Linked DNA regions of Arabidopsis thaliana. The protein of the gene in region 3 purifies or fractionates together with the protein of the main gene of each other region. This does not show direct contact. Each region holds a gene or a part of one and is shown on either strand. Other genes may lie near its edges.

Region 1 (5,978 bases), on a different chromosome or scaffold from region 3:
ATGAGAGAGAGAGTTGAAGAATTCGTACTGGCGAGAGAATTGTAGAAATCACGGCCGAGGAAATTGAAGCCGACGCTAATGCCGGTGGTGGCGAGAGTAAGGGCGAAGACGGCGGCGAGACGAAGCCTGGCTTGGTCTTTGTCCTCGGAAAACCAATAAGGCGACGCGACTTTGTAGAATTTCTTCCACAGAGTCTTCAACTCCGATGCCTTATCCGGACGAACCGACGGTTGCGGCAACAAAGAAGAACATGATACGGTTCTGAAACGTGGATTTTTCTTCCGATGAAAGTTTCCGATCGATGATTCATGGCGAAGCAAAGAAGAATGGCGTAGGAGAAGGTGAGGAGGACAAACGGGAGCTGTTATCATCAAAATCATCCTCCGTCGTCTTCTTACTAATCCCACATAGCCATAGCAACTTGAGGGAGCAAGAGGGAACACTTATAACTAAAGCTCAACCATTCATTTCTTTGCCAGATAAATAATACAAAGGGAAAGAGAAGATAATGACAACGAGAACGTAGCCATTTCTGTTGATTGGTAGCTTTTACAACAGAGATTATACAGAGAAAGAAGGGCTAAAAAGATTCAATTTTTAACGAATCAATGAGGAGTGAGTCTCGGCTTTGGGAAATCTGAGTTCCTCAATAAATTACCCAATTAGTCTATCTCCTTTTATTCATGCAATAGCCCCTTTTCAGGCTTTAAGTTCTACACCTATGAAAGAGCATCAAATCAAACATCACGCTGCTGAGACTCTTTGCTTTTCAGATTTCCATTCTTTCTTCTCACAACCTGGAGTTGTTGCCTAACAATCTTCTTTTTAACTCCCATGCCACCGCATCAATGAACTCTTCCGTATTCACATACTGATCCCTCCTAACCCTGTTCAAATAGTAGACAAAAACTTATCTTTAAACATTTTTTATTAAGTGCATCAACCTCATCAACTTTCTCTCAAGTTTTAGTCTTACTTGGCTCCGTGGATCAGAAGAGCTAGATCCTTGGTCATTTTGCCAGACTCCACCGTCCCCATGCAAGCTGCTTCTAGTTTCTCAGTATAGCTCAAGAGTGCGGCATTGCTGTCCAGCTTTGCCCTGGTACCATCACATACCAAACATCTTGTTAAGATGAACTCAACCAGTTTTCAGAGACTTTAAACTCAATTTATGCCAAAGGTAAAACGGTTCACATAGTTCAGTGATCAATTATAAAGAGACAAGTAATGACAAATCTTACCACAAACAATCCCTGATAGACTAACTCATTATTGAAGCAAGGGACTGGATTTTCTCCAGAGTAGCAACACGAATTACCAAGTATGAAAATGTTTAAAGACAGTGGAAATGCGTTACCTGTGGGCAAGGCCTCTGGACCAAGCAAAAATAGAGGCTATGCTGTTGGTGCTTGTTTCACCACCTTTCTGGTGAACTCTGTAGTGGCGTGTAACTGTGCCATGAGCTGCTTCTGCTTCAATGGTCTTTCCATCTGGACAAACCTGTAATATATCTCAAATTTAATACATAAAATATAATGATGCGCAGGAAACATGTTATCATGATAAAGACCAAAAACTTTGGCTGAGGCCCGCGTCATTTCATACCAACACCGAAGTCATCATTCCCAGAGATCCATATCCTGCAGCGGAGAGCAGAAACTTTGTTTCATAAGGAGAAATAAAATTGAAGTTTCTGTCCCCATTTAGATCACAAGTAAAGAACAAAGAACCATGATACAAGACCAAAATGCATTTGGCAGAATTAAGGTTTCAGTCCCTAGACAGATCTCAAATTTAAGAGGAAAAACCTTGGGCTAAGAAATCGCTCTGTACATCTCCATCGTAATTCTTGCATGCCCAGACGTAACCCCCTTCACTTTTCATGGCATATGCAACCATATCATCTATCAAACGATGCTCATACCTGGATTTCATTAACTTTGTTTACAAGTTTGCATGGTGTACTGTAATAGAATGTCGCTAATAACATGCACATCTCACCATATCCCTGCTGCTTCATACTTGGATCTCCAGTTAGCTTCATAAACTTCTTGGAATATATCCTTGAATCTGAAAACAAGATGAAAAGGTAATATCAGGGCAGTATGACTAGATGGTGAAATGATTTCGGTGAGACTCTAACAAGAAAGTATAAAGGCCAGTGAATTCACACCTTCCATCATATATTTTGAGGATGGTGTTTTTTGTGGAGAGGTAAAGTGGCCACTTTTTCTGGTAAGCTGTGTACATCGAGGACTCAGCAAATGCACGAATAGACTGTTCAAAAATGAAATCGGACCACCATATCAATAGATACTCTGTAAGTGTATTCAGATAGTGCAGACATGAAGGAGAGGACTATTTCAATAATATCTACCTCATCAGTGTTATACATGGCTAAAGCAACACCTCCACCGGTGAAATTGAAGACTTCGAATTCTGTTTTCTGAGAAGATCCACTTGGCTCTGCATATGTAAGATATGATTTTTAACGTGTATAAATAAACTTCCACAGGTAGGTGAATTCAATGACAATGATCCCCCATTATTCTCTATAATGAACAATTTAATTGAAGGGTTAGACAGATCCAGAACGGGAGGAGGAGATTACCAAAAACTAGTTTCAGTTTTCCTGGTTCATTGACAATGAGATCAGTGGCTCTATACTGATCACCAAAAGCATGCCTTCCAATACAGATTGGCTTCGTCCATCCTGAGGAAATGAAATCAGAGGGATTTGTTTTGCTCTACATGTTAAAGGTACAGAAAATGGCTAACTCATACAAAAAGAGCAGCCATTGACAAACCTGGAACAAGACGAGGGATGTTTCTGCAAATGATAGGTTCCCTGAAAACTGTGCCTGCATAAAAATAACAACATGATCTTAGAGCTTAGGAATTGAAGAAGGAATTGCCCCCTTTTTTGGCGAAGAAACTGACCGTTTAAAATGTTCCTTATAGTTCCATTAGGACTCCTCCACATTTTCTTTAAGCCGAACTCCCTAACACGAGCTTCATCTGTCGTTGAAAGCAAAAACTGTTGTTAGTAAGTGAAAGAAGCACACTTTTAAATTAAAAATTGCAAAGGTTTAAGAATACATACCCGGAGTAATCGTCGCACACTTAATAGCCACATTATACCTTCACACAAGAAAAGAAAAGAAAAAAACTTTAAGGCAGACAATATATTCTGAAACCAATAGCCATGAACAAGCTTTATTCACAGAACAACCTCAACACTAGAAGCAGAAAGCATGGAGAATATGATATCTAAGTATAAAATGTAAAGACGACATACTTTAAAGTAGCTTCAGCAGTCTCTATAGTAACCTTATCATCAGTGAAATCGCGGTTAGGCAGTCCAAGATCAAAGTATTTGATATCCAGCTCCAGGAAAGGGAAAATAAGCTGCAAAATTCTCAAGATTTTAATCACAAAAAGAATTCAATCTGTGATTAAAGATTTAAAAAAAAGTTAAGATTTTTACCTTGTCTTTGATGAATTTCCAGATAACTCGAGTCATTTCGTCTCCTGCTTGTGCACAGAGAATAAATAAAGAGTCAAGTTTCTGAATTTATTTCATAAAACTATAACATATAGAAGAAAAGAAAAACCCGGAACAGAGCCGATCACATATACTCCAATATAAGCAAATCAATCAATCAGAGTAACGAGAAACCCATAATCGTAATCATAGATTTGAGCTAATTGACTGTTCGAACACTTACCATCCATTTCAACAACGGGATTGATCACCTTGATCTTCTCGAATTCCATCTTTGCCCGCAGAGGTTGGTAATGATCGACGAGTGAAATTGAATAGTGAAACGATCACCTCTGCTCCGCCATGAAAGACAGACGATAACAGCTCTATATCTCTATGTTGGGCCACACTCTTCCAAAAGCCCAAATAATCAAGCCCACTTATATATGGGCCTGATTCTGCAATTTGAAACCATGCTTCTCTTTTTGTATACTAGCATCATCTTTGAATTCCCCGCAGTGATAGTCAGCTTTAACAGTAATCATCAAAATCTTAAAATTGAAGAAGATCTGCTTTGGCTAATTGATTGAATAATTAATCAAAATTTGAGATAACAATCACGAGGTGGTCCTGTAGGATTAGTATATTAAAAAGAGTAATGAGTGTGACCACTTTAACAAGGGTAGAAATGAGATTTAATGCATGGAGAAAAGCAAAAGGCAAATAACGCAAATGTTTTTGGACAGTGACATTGTTCTTCTGCTATAATTGAGATGCGTGAAAAAACATGAAAGCAAGAATCTCTAGAGACACAGGGATTCCAACTTGTATTATTTAAAGGCTTTTCTTTTTTCCTTGGATCAGTTTGTTTAGCACAAACTAATATGAGATGGAAAAAAAATATGTTTTGGAAACCGACATGTAGGGAATCAGATGCTACTTTTTCTGAACAAGACTCTTCTTCTCTTTTAGAAGAATTGTGATTGATGTTGATGTTTAAGATGATGTATGATCATTTTATTAACAAACCAACAAAAAAGGGATGATGTATGTATTATCATGATACATGATACATGTCAACATGTATATCGTATGTATGTATTATCATGATTCCCCCATAGAGTCCCGCCTTTGCCAATTTCGTCATGGATATATATACACGTAAAGTTTGTTTACTATTCATTTAATAATGTCACTATTGTGTTACGTCTAATTAATTAATGTTTATTTGATACTCTAGATATCAATACTATAAGCTTGAGAAAGAGTATAGGTACTTGATACATGTGAAATGGAAATATAAAAGGGTTGATAAGATAAGATGCTTAGATCTTAATTAGCTTTATTCGCTTCCCCTTAGATCGTATCAAAGGTTGCATGTCTTTAGTTAGGCTTGCATGTTAGCTTCCTCGTTGTCTTTATTAATTAATTAATCCACATTCCTTTTGCATTTGTGATACAACATTTATATATATAGTCACATTTTTTTTTATATATAGTACTCACATTAATTACTTGTTCATATAGACTTAGACTCGATTTGTGACCAAGAAAAACAAAGTGGTGAAACAATTGGGGCATGTCTTGTTGTTGTCGTTTGATAAGTTAAACTGTTAAAGCATCTTTCGCCAAAATATTTTTCAGTTGCTATCTTTTGTTTTTTGTATCTGTCACTCTCTCTCTCTCTCCCTAAGTTATTGGTGACCACATCTTAAAGCTTCCCTAAAATGTTATTGTTATTTCTTTCTCACGGAAAAGGGAGAGTTACTTACTTGAAGTTTGAATATTATACTTTATAAGAATGGAGGAGTTTTATATATGTCGCAACTTGTGGACTCCCTCAGTATTTGATCATTTCCTTACATAAAACGTTTGATTACTTCATTCTGTTAAATTCCGTTTACAATGTTCTTCGTCTACATGTGAATTATATATATTAGCAAACGAAAAAAAACCATGTAAACGAGACATCTAATATATGACATGAGTTATATATATCATACATGTGAAGAATGAAGATGTCCTTATTTTTTTAATTTATCTTTTGGATCGAGGCCGAGAGTCGAGGCAAAAGAGATTTGACCGGAAGTTAGTAAAATTGAAGGGCCGAGAGAAAGAGAGTCAAAGATTGTGTGGGAGTAATGATGTAAAAGAGCCGAACAACGTCTTTAATCCATATGTAAAAGGGACTAAAGAAGCCTCCCAACACTAAAGCCAAAGTCGACTTGGATGCCTCCTGCTTTTTTATTCTCCCATTTTTTAATCATATATATGAATTCAATTTATAAGTATTCTTATTATAAGACCATAACAACATAAAACAATATAACAAAACTGTCAAACCGAAAAAAAAAGAAAAGAAAAAGCCGAGTGTTTAGGTGTCGCCAGGTAGATTTGGTTTGAGAAGAAGAGATGGGTCCCCTAAACTGTTGAATCATAAAAAGCCTTCATTTTTGGTTTAAAGCAAACGTTATAAAAATCCCTCTATAATGAT
Region 2 (4,959 bases), on a different chromosome or scaffold from region 3:
ACATGCAAATAATTAATTTCTTCTCCATGGTCGAACTCAAATTAAAATTTTGTCTACCCCTCTCAAAAACATATATGGACCAACCATTTATTCTGTAGAAACATTAAATTAACTTATTTTATCCATTAAAGTATCAGTTATAAAGCAAAGCATCCCAAAACTCATCAGAAACCGGCCACTAAAAAACAAAGGTATATGAGACATAATTGGCGTCTTGAATAATCTCTTCACAGCAACCAGTTTTTACAACAAATCCCAAGCTCAACGAAGCCATCGACGATCCAAGTAATTGGTTCTCTATTCTTATATCGGGTCAGAATCCATTTGCCGGACCCAACCAACCACCCCCACTATGGGATAGGAAGGACGTACAAAAACATTTAGACGATAAAAAGTGGATTTCGCATATCAACCCAGGACGTGTTACAATTTTGATGGGTTAACTTAACCTGGCCGTGGATCAGTAAACCAGCCCTCGAACCATCAACACCTGATAAGTCAAGTAACTGAGTAAGTACTTTCGAGGATACAAATTTCTTTCTTGGAGAAGATAGGAGAACGTCCTCGTATCAACGAAAAAATATGAAGATTATAATTTGCCGGATTTTTAAATTAATCGAATGCTTTGCTTTTCAGCAATAATCTGGTTTTGGACTAAAATGATCTTGGATTGGAAATTGTGTGGTGAAGTAAGAAGCTCTAATCTTGGAGCTCATCTTATTGCCAAGAGCGTGACAATGGAGGATCGCCGCCAATCGTATGTAGCAAGCGGATTTCCTTTTTGGCTGAAACATCTTTTTGAGAAAGAAAGAAGTATTGCTTAGTGTAATATTCAACGTGGTTGATCTAGAATGATTGTCCTTGATCCTAACTTTTTGTATATTTGGTTACAATCTTGAATATAAAATATATCTTTCAGTGAAAAAAAAAAAAAAGAGACTAAAATGATCCATTATCCAAAATTGTAAATCATATAAAAGTAATTTAAAATAAAGATTAAATTATACTAATAAACTAGAATAATCAACATAAGCTTGATATGGGGACTAGACCAAACAAACTTCTATCATCGTAAGTTCGTAACCACAAGTAACCATCATCAATCAGATATTTAATATATTTCATGTTACACTAAGTATTAAATCACATATTCATCCTCTTCAACAAAGGTCGTTGACAAAATCAAAAACAACTATACGTTGATCATATTAATAATCTCTAGCATTTTGGTTGTTTGTTATTTTTTATTAATAACAGATAAATAAATAATTTCACATTTAACCAAAAAAAAATACTAGCAGCTAAACAATGAGCATTGTAAAATCTCCCAAACAATCAAAGAGTTTTTCTCTATATAACATTATTGGTAGTGTAAAAAATGTAAAATTTATGTTAGATTTTCAACAATTAAAATGCGAATATAAACCCTATTTTTGGAGTATTTTAATTCCCTGTTTTCCCGGCTTTTTCATGGATAATCTTACAAAGACTTTTTAATATCTTGATGATGATGATGATGATGATGCTTCAGGCACGCAACTTTATGCCAAGCTTACGTGGCAAATTTGGATAGCCAAAAATAAATTAGAAGACCAAATTGATATAAAGAAAGAGATCTTCGTATTCAACTATTTCTTCATTCGTAAACAAACACACACGAAGCAAAAACAAAAATGAAAACTACTCATTTCTCTTCCTCTTCTTCTTCCGATCGCAGGATCGGTGCTCTGCTCCGTCATCTCAATTCCGGCTCAGATTCGGACAACCTGAGCTCTCTTTATGCATCTCCGACATCGGGAGGCACCGGTGGTTCTGTTTTCTCTCATCTTGTTCAAGCTCCAGAGGATCCTATTCTTGGGGTACCTTCTTCTTCTTCGATTATGTTTTGTGTGTCTATATCATTCTCAAACATATTGGACGATACTTTTGGATATGTGTATCATACGCATTGGATCCGTTATTGATTGGTGGGAATTCACGATCTCTCGATAAAATGACATGATGTTTTATGAAATGGGATAAGATTTGATGTTTATGCTTCTGAATTTGGTTCGTTTGATTAGTAATTCATTTTTTTTTCACCAAATTTTCAGCTCTGAGATGAATTATGATGATTAGTGTGGTTATGTCAGTGATTCTGATATTTGTTTTTCACAAAAAAATGAATAGGTGACAGTTGCATACAACAAAGATCCTAGCCCAGTTAAGCTGAATTTAGGAGTTGGTGCTTACCGAACTGAGGTAATGTTACAATGAAGATGTGTCTCTGTTCTTTGATTTATTATTTTTGTTGTTGCAACTGAAAAGGATTGGTTGTTTATTGATGGGTTACAGGAGGGAAAACCTTTGGTTCTTAATGTTGTGAGGAAAGCTGAGCAGCAGCTTATCAATGACAGGTTTACCTCTCTTTCTTTTGGTTTCTACCCTTTATGTGTGTGTGTGTGCTTGATGATGTTGAATCTTGTTTTGTGTGTTAATCTGTAGAACAAGAATCAAGGAGTATCTTCCCATTGTTGGATTGGTTGAGTTCAACAAGTTAAGCGCTAAGCTCATACTAGGCGCTGACAGGTATGCATTCTCTGTTTATTCTTTATGTTTTCATCACTTTGTTTTTTCTTTAGACAATTCTTTATGATTGGTGTTCTCATGTATGGTTTAGTCCTGCTATTCGGGAGAATCGGATTACCACCGTGGAGTGTTTGTCTGGTACTGGTTCTCTGAGAGTTGGAGGAGAGTTTTTGGCTAAACATTATCATCAGGTTGATGCTTAAGCCTAATTTCCTATCTGATTGAATTTCTTCATCCTATAGAACTTCTCATAGAAATTTGGAGTCTTTTCCTTTGCTTTTCAGAAAACAATTTACATCACTCAGCCAACATGGGGAAATCATCCAAAGATTTTCACGCTCGCTGGTTTGACAGTGAAAACTTACCGATACTACGATCCAGCGACGCGTGGGTTGAACTTTCAAGGTGAGACTACTGAGTTCTTTGCTTGCTATTGTTGATATGCTTATATATCTTTCTGAATTCGTTTACGTCAACTTTTTTTCTTCTTTTGTTCACAGGTTTATTAGAAGACCTTGGTGCTGCCGCACCTGGTTCTATAGTGCTTCTCCATGCCTGTGCCCATAACCCTACTGGTGTTGATCCAACCATTCAACAATGGGAGCAAATCAGGAAGTTGATGCGATCAAAGGGATTGATGCCCTTCTTCGATAGTGCTTATCAGGTACACCTGATGAATCCTTTTGTGTAAGATCAGCTGATATTTAAACCATTTTCCTTCTGAATCAATGGTTAATACTTGTCTCTCTTTTTGTATCGCAGGGCTTTGCAAGTGGAAGTCTTGATACAGATGCGAAACCTATTAGGATGTTTGTTGCTGATGGCGGAGAATGCCTCGTTGCTCAAAGTTATGCGAAGAACATGGGACTCTATGGAGAACGAGTTGGAGCTCTCAGCATTGTAAGAACCTGTTGCATTGCAAGAAATCTATTTAAGAAACGCGTAAGAAATTCTTTCTGACATAAAAGAAGTTGTTGTAGGTATGCAAATCAGCAGATGTTGCGGGGAGAGTTGAAAGCCAACTGAAACTAGTGATAAGGCCAATGTACTCGAGTCCTCCAATCCATGGTGCATCAATCGTGGCTGTAATCCTCCGTGACAAGAATTTGTTCAACGAATGGACTCTGGAACTGAAGGCCATGGCTGATCGTATCATCAGCATGAGGAAACAGCTTTTCGAGGCATTACGTACTCGAGGTAAGTAAGGTCTTATTGATTTGTATAAGGAATGTAAATGGACATAGCTAATGAAATGAAATTCAAAATCACTGTGACAGGCACTCCTGGAGACTGGAGTCACATCATAAAGCAGATTGGTATGTTTACCTTCACAGGGTTAAACCCAGCTCAAGTCTCCTTCATGACTAAAGAGTACCACATCTACATGACATCTGACGGGTAAGCGCCTGCCTCTCTTCTTCATCTATTAATTTTCTTGAATTTTGTCTAACTTAGTGTGTGATGATTGATATAAATGAACCAAAGGAGGATAAGCATGGCTGGTCTGAGTTCGAAGACTGTACCTCACCTTGCAGACGCTATCCATGCTGTTGTCACCAAAGCCGTCTGAGAAACTGAACACCACCATGACACCAAAGCTTCATAATAAAGATTTTGTTCTTTTCTTTCTATTATAGCATTTCCGGCAGTGACAAGATAAATGTCGTTACTATTATTATTGTTTCATCCCAGTATCAATAAAGTACGCAAGAAAGCTTTTGTGCTCTCTCTTCTACTATTGCTTACAACTCTTTTTTGGTTTCTTATAGAGTCAAATGTTTAAGAGAAAACATTTGAGATTTAAGCTGGTGAACTTGAATACAGTTCATGTAGAATCTGAGGTTTTAGCATATGACGGAATTGCAGAAACTATTTAGATTAAACTAGCAGAGAACAAGAATAAGTTACTGCAGTTGGTTCGTTTCACAGAGTATACGGACGTGTACTCATTGCAGGCAAATGAAATATGTATATATATATTGAACACAGAATCTACATAAATTCACTCCAATTGATCCATTAAAAAGAAACAGAGAAAAAAAATTGATCCAGCCAGGGATAATTCATAAAAGATGCACATACATATTTATACATTGTTCATGTATGGTGCATTTTGCATATTATGTATAAGCTTTTGGCATTTTACCTACATCCCTTCAAGAGGTAGGATGAGACTTCTTCTGTTGCTTTGATTGGAGACTCGCAATCGTTGAAGTCCAGCACTCGACGCTCCGCCTATAGATTGAGAAATGTTCAAAACACAAAATCAATGGAGCACAAAACATTTTTCTTTGTTTCTAGAACTATAATCTCAAAACCGTCTACTTAGAGAGTGAATGATTTGTAGAGTATGTATATATACCAGTAGAGGATCATTATTCTCTTTATCCA
Region 3 (5,807 bases):
TTAATAATGGTCAGTGGCAAAAAACGTAAAAGAATAAAATGAGAAGGTACACTTACTATGGATAAATTCTACAGCTTGGCATATTGCTTCCATGGAAGGAGCAAAACAATAATCTCTTGTAGCAATCACCAGGTGGTCAATGCAGTAAGACTTCCATAAGAGTAAGAAAATTAAATGGGCCGGGTCAGTACATAGAAGAAACCAAAAGACAGAACGGCCACATTAAATAACTCACTTTGTAGAGAGACGATGGAACCAAAGTTTCATATGGCTCATTCAGAGTGATCACTCCACAAACACCGAGCTCTTTCAGCTGTGGAACATCAGATGGAAATGGAACAGCTCCCAGTAATATAAACTGCAGAAACCAAAGAGAGAGAGAAGCATAAGCAAAAGACCCAGAACCAAATCCAGAAAACATACTTAGAGGAGTATCTACAAGAGATACAACAACAAATGAAGACGATTTTACACAAACCATCAAAAGCAGCACAATCTACATGATCAATGTATCAATTTCCACTAAAACAGCTCAAAGGACAATCAAGATTTTACCTCAGCCACGCGATCCCACCAGCGAAACTCAGATTCGAGCTTATTCCTAACAACGTTGTAAACCAGAGTAGGATAAAACAAAGCACGAGCACCAACACCAACGAGTGCCCTCTTTGTAGTCAACACAATCACGTTTCCTCTGCTCACCAATACCGCCTTATCTCCATCATCAACGTTATCCTCAACCGATCTCTCCCTCTTCTCCTCATCCGTTTCCGTCAGTTCTTTGATATACATATTCCTCAGTCAAAGATCTAAAGATCCAACACACACCAAAAAAAAAAACAATCTATTCTCCTGCCAACCGATGCCCTAATAATCAATCACCAGTCTTATATACACAGACACGATTATTCACAATCCTAATTGATTCGAAGACAAAGCCAAGAAGAAAGTCTACACGTAATCGAAATCGCGATAAAGTCAAGAGGAAGCAACCGAAGAAATTTTGAATTCAAAATCTTCAGGGAGATCACCACCATATTTCGCCTGAAACAAAACGATGATCCGATCAAACGCCGGTAACGACGAGACGGAGAAGACTGAAAAAAATCCGATCACCGATGGATATAAATCAAATTCGCCAAATGACCAAAGAGAAGAATCGCCCTAAGAACAAGTTTTCGAAATTTGGGGATCGAGAATTTTGTTTTTGCCTAATCTCTACTCAACCTTTAGGTTTTCTCTTTAAGAGAGGAGAACCAAAAAAAGAAGGATCTCAGTGTTTTCAATGAGAGGGTTTTTGCTAAACTGACAAGCGTTTCACCTCTTATTGTAGCTTTTATGTGAAAGTCAATGCTCTGTTGACACGTGTTTTGCCGATTTATGGAGAAAGAGTCATGCGTCGCACAAGGCCCGGATAATATTAGGATTATCCTTTCTTTAACTCTTTTTTTTGTTTTGGATAAGATCCTTTCTTTAATTTTTAAGTATCAAATTAATTTAAGTTTTTTAAAAGAACAATTAATTTACCCATATTTGAAATGAAAAGAAAATTATGTTTTTAATTGTTAAAATTCAAGACTTCTTGAGCCAAAAATAAAGTTCTCTTTGAGCTTAAGAAAAAGTATCTAAGTCCTCTAAAATATTAAATTCAAAACAAACAAAACTAGTCCTGGGTAATACTTTCGAGTAAAAAGAATTTACAACTAGGCTACAAAATAGAAATTACTGCAAATAGGCTTTATTATATTGGAGTGATTTACTAAAGTCAACAAAAAAAAATCAAAAGTAGCTGAGCAAATTATCTACAGCCCACGAGAGTGTAGTAATGGGCTAATGGGCTAATGGCAACTATGATGTGTAGATGATTAGAGAGAGCTTGATTAGTTTTAAACCAAATCTTATCACGTCTTTCATTAGAATCCGATATAAATGATAAATACTTGGAACTTTCTATTACCAATTTTTTTGTTACCTTTATTACATTAGTCTCTCTTTCTGTTCAAACTTGTAATCCTAAAAATAGAACAAAATCCTCTGTTTTTTCTGTAACGAATTCTTTCTTATTGAATCACCCAAAGGTAAGAGCTTTTTTAGTGGCTTCTCTTTCTTTGATTTATCCAATTTTTCACACACACTCGAGAATCTGAGACAATAGAGAGAACAATGGAGAGAGTTGATCACCTTGCCGATGAGAGGAACAAAGCAGAGTTCAACGTCGACGATATGAAGATCGTCTGGGCCGGTTCCCGCCACGCTTTCGATGTTTCAAATCGTATGTCTCGCCTCGTCGCTAATGATCCGGTAAGATTTCTCCTTCCTCCTTTCTCTGTTTTTCCGGCGACATTTCCGATGTGAATTTCGAAACTTTTGCCATGTTAAGGTCTTTGAGAAAAGCAAAAGAGCTGTGATGAGTAGGAAAGAGTTGTTCAAGAACACGTTGAGGAAAAGTGTTCACGCTTGGAAGTTGATTAACGAGCTTCGTCTCTCAGATGAGGAAGGACTCAAATTGAGATCTTTCATGGATCAACCAGGCTTCTTGGATCTGCATTGGGTATAACACAAAATTTACAATTTCCCTTGGGTGGTTTAATTAGAATTTTGGTGTTGAATTGGTTTTGTGGTGGATAGGGAATGTTTGTGCCTGCAATTAAAGGACAAGGCACAGAGCAACAACAACAAAAGTGGTTGTCTTTAGCTACTAAGATGCAGATAATTGGATGTTATGCTCAAACTGAGCTTGGTCATGGCTCTAATGTTCAAGGCCTTGAGACAACCGCTACTTTTGATCCAAAGACAGATCAGTTTATCATTCACAGTCCAACTCAGACATCATCCAAAGTAAGGGGAAGAAGTATAGACAGTTATCTATTTTGATCTCTGAGTGTTTAAATTGTGTCTTGATTTTGTTTTGTTTGAAACATTAGTGGTGGCCTGGTGGGTTAGGAAAAGTTTCTACTCATGCTGTTATTTATGCTCGTCTAATAACCAATGGCAAAGACCATGGTGTACATGGTAAGGCACTAGAACGATTTCTTATTCATTTTTTTAATAATCATCAGTAGTATTGAGTAACAAGATTTTTCTGTTTTTCAGGATTCATCGTGCAGCTGCGTAGTTTGGATGATCATTCTCCTCTTCCGGGTATAACCGTTGGTGATATCGGAATGAAGTTTGGAAACGGGGCATATAACTCAATGGACAATGGTTTTCTTATGTTTGATCATTTTCGCATTCCTAGAGATCAAATGCTCATGAGGTCCTCTCTCTTTGGCCCTTTCTATGAATAAAAGCATTTTATCATTTAATATCCCTAAGAGAAACAGATTTATGGTTGTGCATTTTTCTTCTTATAGACTGTCAAAAGTTACAAGAGAAGGAAAATATGTAGCATCAGATGTTCCAAGGCAATTGGTGTATGGTACTATGGTGTATGTGAGACAGTCTATTGTGTCAAATGCTTCCACCGCGCTGGCTCGGGCAGTTTGCATTGCTACTAGGTACAGTGCTGTTCGAAGGCAGTTTGGCTCACATGATGGTGGCATTGAGACACAGGTATTCAACAAATCTCACTATTCATAACTATGGGGCAAAAATGTTTTCTGTAACTTAGTTAAGTAAGAATCCAATCTCTAGATAGAATATGGTCATCAGTCATGACCATAAACATAGAGACCAGTTATTGATGTTGTTATAATTGGCAGGTGATTAATTATAAAACTCAGCAGAACAGGTTGTTTCCTCTGCTGGCATCTGCATATGCATTTCGGTTTGTAGGGGAATGGCTGAAGTGGCTCTACACTGATGTAACAAAAAGACTAGAGGCCAGTGATTTCGCAACATTGCCTGAAGCTCATGCATGCACTGCTGGATTGAAGTCTATGACTACCTCAGCCACCTCTGTATGCTTTCAAATCTTAACTTATTAAAATAAGTTGAATATTATCAGCTAAACTGTGTTTTTTTTGTTGTTGGTTAAAAGGATGGGATTGAAGAATGTCGTAAGTTATGTGGTGGACATGGATACTTGTGGTGTAGTGGGCTTCCTGAATTGTTTGCTGTATATGTTCCTGCTTGCACATACGAGGGAGACAATGTTGTGTTGCAGTTACAGGTATTCTTAAACTTATCTTCTTGAATATCACTTTTAAGAATCATTTCAAGCCCCTACTCTTTATAATGGCAAATGAAATGGTCTTAAAATTTTGTTATATATGTTTTAAAACAATGGATCTTCAGGTTGCTAGATTTCTGATGAAGACAGTTTCACAGTTGGGTTCTGGAAAGGCTCCTTCTGGGACAACTGCTTATATGGGCAGAGCAAAACACCTTTTGCAATGCAGTTCCGGAGTTCGAAATGGTGATTTTTTCATGGATACTACCATAATATTTATACTCTTTATATCTACCTGTTTTCTGAATTTATCTTGGTTGAGAATGTAGCTAGGGACTGGTTAAACCCTGGTATGGTGTTGGAAGCTTTTGAAGCAAGAGCTTTGAGAATGGCTGTTACTTGTGCTAACAATCTAAGCAAGTTTGAGAATCAAGAACAAGGATTCTCAGAACTCTTGGCTGATCTTGTTGAGGCTGCTACTGCTCATTGCCAGTTAATTGTTGTTTCTAAGTAAGTAAATAAGCTTCTTCACTAAAATTTTACAAACTAATCAACAGACTCAAATCATAACTTACGTGAAAATTCACAGGTTTATAGCCAAAGTAGAGGGAGATATTGAAGGAAAAGGAGTGAAGAAACAGCTCAAGAATCTATGCTACATCTACGCACTCTATCTCCTTCACAAACACCTTGGTGATTTCCTCAGTACAAACTCTGTTACTCCTGAACAAGCCTCACTTGCGAACCAGCAGCTTCGATCACTCTACTCTCAGGTTCGACCAAACGCAGTGGCCCTAGTGGACGCCTTCGACTACACGGACCAGTATCTTGGCTCTGTCTTAGGCCGCTATGACGGAAACGTTTATCCAAAGCTTTTCGAGGAAGCGTTGAAGGATCCACTCAATGACTCGGTGGTTCCTGACGGCTACCGTGAGTACATCCGACCGTTGATTAAGCAACGCTTCCGCTCTGCCAAACTCTAACTCTTTCTTTGTGCGGCTAAAAGGGGCAACACTGTTTTATTTATGTTATATTTTATTCATGTTTTTAACAAATGTGAAGTAAACTACAAATATCTTAAGTTATATGGGTGATAAATTAATATTTGTAAAATATCACATTTATTTATCTATGAAGAAATAAAACAGATTAATTGCATATACAATTTTGTGGTTGTACTATTGCATTTGCATGTCAGCAGATTTTACGATCACATTTAGTTTTATGTGCCCTTTTGCTTTACCTTCTATTAATTGGCTTTTTTCGATCCATAAAGTTTCCTTACGTTTTTAGTTATTAATTGAGCAATTAATAACCGAATTAGTTAGTTGAATATGTATTTATCATACAATTTGTGGTTGTACTATTGCTATTAGCCAACTGTTGTCGTCTATCTAAATCCTCCAACATTGAAAAAAACAAACTAAAACAAATAATACATTCGTATTAAAAAAGAAAACTTGTTAGTTGGTTAGTAGTGAAGGTAGTTACGACACCATCCTTAAATTAATTTTGACAGCTTATGTCTTTAATCTTGTTTAACCCAAGAGTCTAAATTAAAGACGAAAACCAAGTTTGACTGACTCTTCCGATATATGCATGTACACTATATCACATATCTATATGTGCATGTATATATGAGTATGATCTATATGACTATAGATGTATGTATATGTGTGTACGAAGCCTATGAGAT

Evidence for each region. The genes of interacting proteins can lie anywhere in the genome.
Region 1: the proteins of ACX5 (region 3) and ICDH fractionate together in Arabidopsis thaliana (co-fractionation; one large-scale study listed by BioGRID). This does not show direct contact.
Region 2: the proteins of ACX5 (region 3) and ASP3 fractionate together in Arabidopsis thaliana (co-fractionation; one large-scale study listed by BioGRID). This does not show direct contact.

The regions. Positions count from the first base shown.
Region 1 is NC_003070.9:20,281,319-20,287,296, reverse strand, and holds ICDH (isocitrate dehydrogenase), read right to left. Parts: upstream 3,972-5,978; 5' UTR 3,778-3,971; coding exon 3,729-3,777; intron 3,532-3,728; coding exon 3,488-3,531; intron 3,409-3,487; coding exon 3,299-3,408; intron 3,142-3,298; coding exon 3,104-3,141; intron 3,019-3,103; coding exon 2,941-3,018; intron 2,862-2,940; coding exon 2,808-2,861; intron 2,714-2,807; coding exon 2,612-2,713; intron 2,467-2,611; coding exon 2,378-2,466; intron 2,278-2,377; coding exon 2,174-2,277; intron 2,071-2,173; coding exon 2,002-2,070; intron 1,925-2,001; coding exon 1,809-1,924; intron 1,641-1,808; coding exon 1,606-1,640; coding exon of another isoform or gene 1,600-1,605; exon of another isoform or gene 1,501-1,599; coding exon 1,358-1,500; intron 1,100-1,357; coding exon 977-1,099; intron 888-976; coding exon 791-887; 3' UTR 511-790; downstream 1-510. Other genes in the region: ABCD2 (ABC transporter family protein), read right to left, coding at 29-380. UniProt on the Arabidopsis thaliana protein: May be involved in response to oxidative stresses.
Region 2 is NC_003076.8:3,684,436-3,689,394, reverse strand, and holds ASP3 (aspartate aminotransferase 3), read left to right. Parts: upstream 1-1,540; 5' UTR 1,541-1,673; coding exon 1,674-1,859; intron 1,860-2,169; coding exon 2,170-2,241; intron 2,242-2,334; coding exon 2,335-2,396; intron 2,397-2,484; coding exon 2,485-2,568; intron 2,569-2,659; coding exon 2,660-2,759; intron 2,760-2,852; coding exon 2,853-2,973; intron 2,974-3,068; coding exon 3,069-3,232; intron 3,233-3,330; coding exon 3,331-3,468; intron 3,469-3,548; coding exon 3,549-3,765; intron 3,766-3,845; coding exon 3,846-3,966; intron 3,967-4,053; coding exon 4,054-4,138; 3' UTR 4,139-4,449; downstream 4,450-4,959. Other genes in the region: MYB3R-4 (myb domain protein 3r-4), read right to left, coding at 4,711-4,803, 4,931-4,959. UniProt on the Arabidopsis thaliana protein: Amino acid aminotransferase important for the metabolism of amino acids and Krebs-cycle related organic acids. No activity with D-Asp or D-Ala as amino donors. In plants, it is involved in nitrogen metabolism and in aspects of carbon and energy metabolism.
Region 3 is NC_003071.7:14,997,799-15,003,605, forward strand, and holds ACX5 (acyl-CoA oxidase 5), read left to right. Parts: upstream 1-1,927; 5' UTR 1,928-2,163; coding exon 2,164-2,301; intron 2,302-2,380; coding exon 2,381-2,551; intron 2,552-2,628; coding exon 2,629-2,838; intron 2,839-2,924; coding exon 2,925-3,012; intron 3,013-3,093; coding exon 3,094-3,256; intron 3,257-3,353; coding exon 3,354-3,552; intron 3,553-3,701; coding exon 3,702-3,899; intron 3,900-3,979; coding exon 3,980-4,111; intron 4,112-4,236; coding exon 4,237-4,357; intron 4,358-4,440; coding exon 4,441-4,621; intron 4,622-4,700; coding exon 4,701-5,094; 3' UTR 5,095-5,275; downstream 5,276-5,807. Other genes in the region: AT2G35680 (Phosphotyrosine protein phosphatases superfamily protein), read right to left, coding at 57-150, 236-358, 556-792. UniProt on the Arabidopsis thaliana protein: Catalyzes the desaturation of acyl-CoAs to 2-trans-enoyl-CoAs.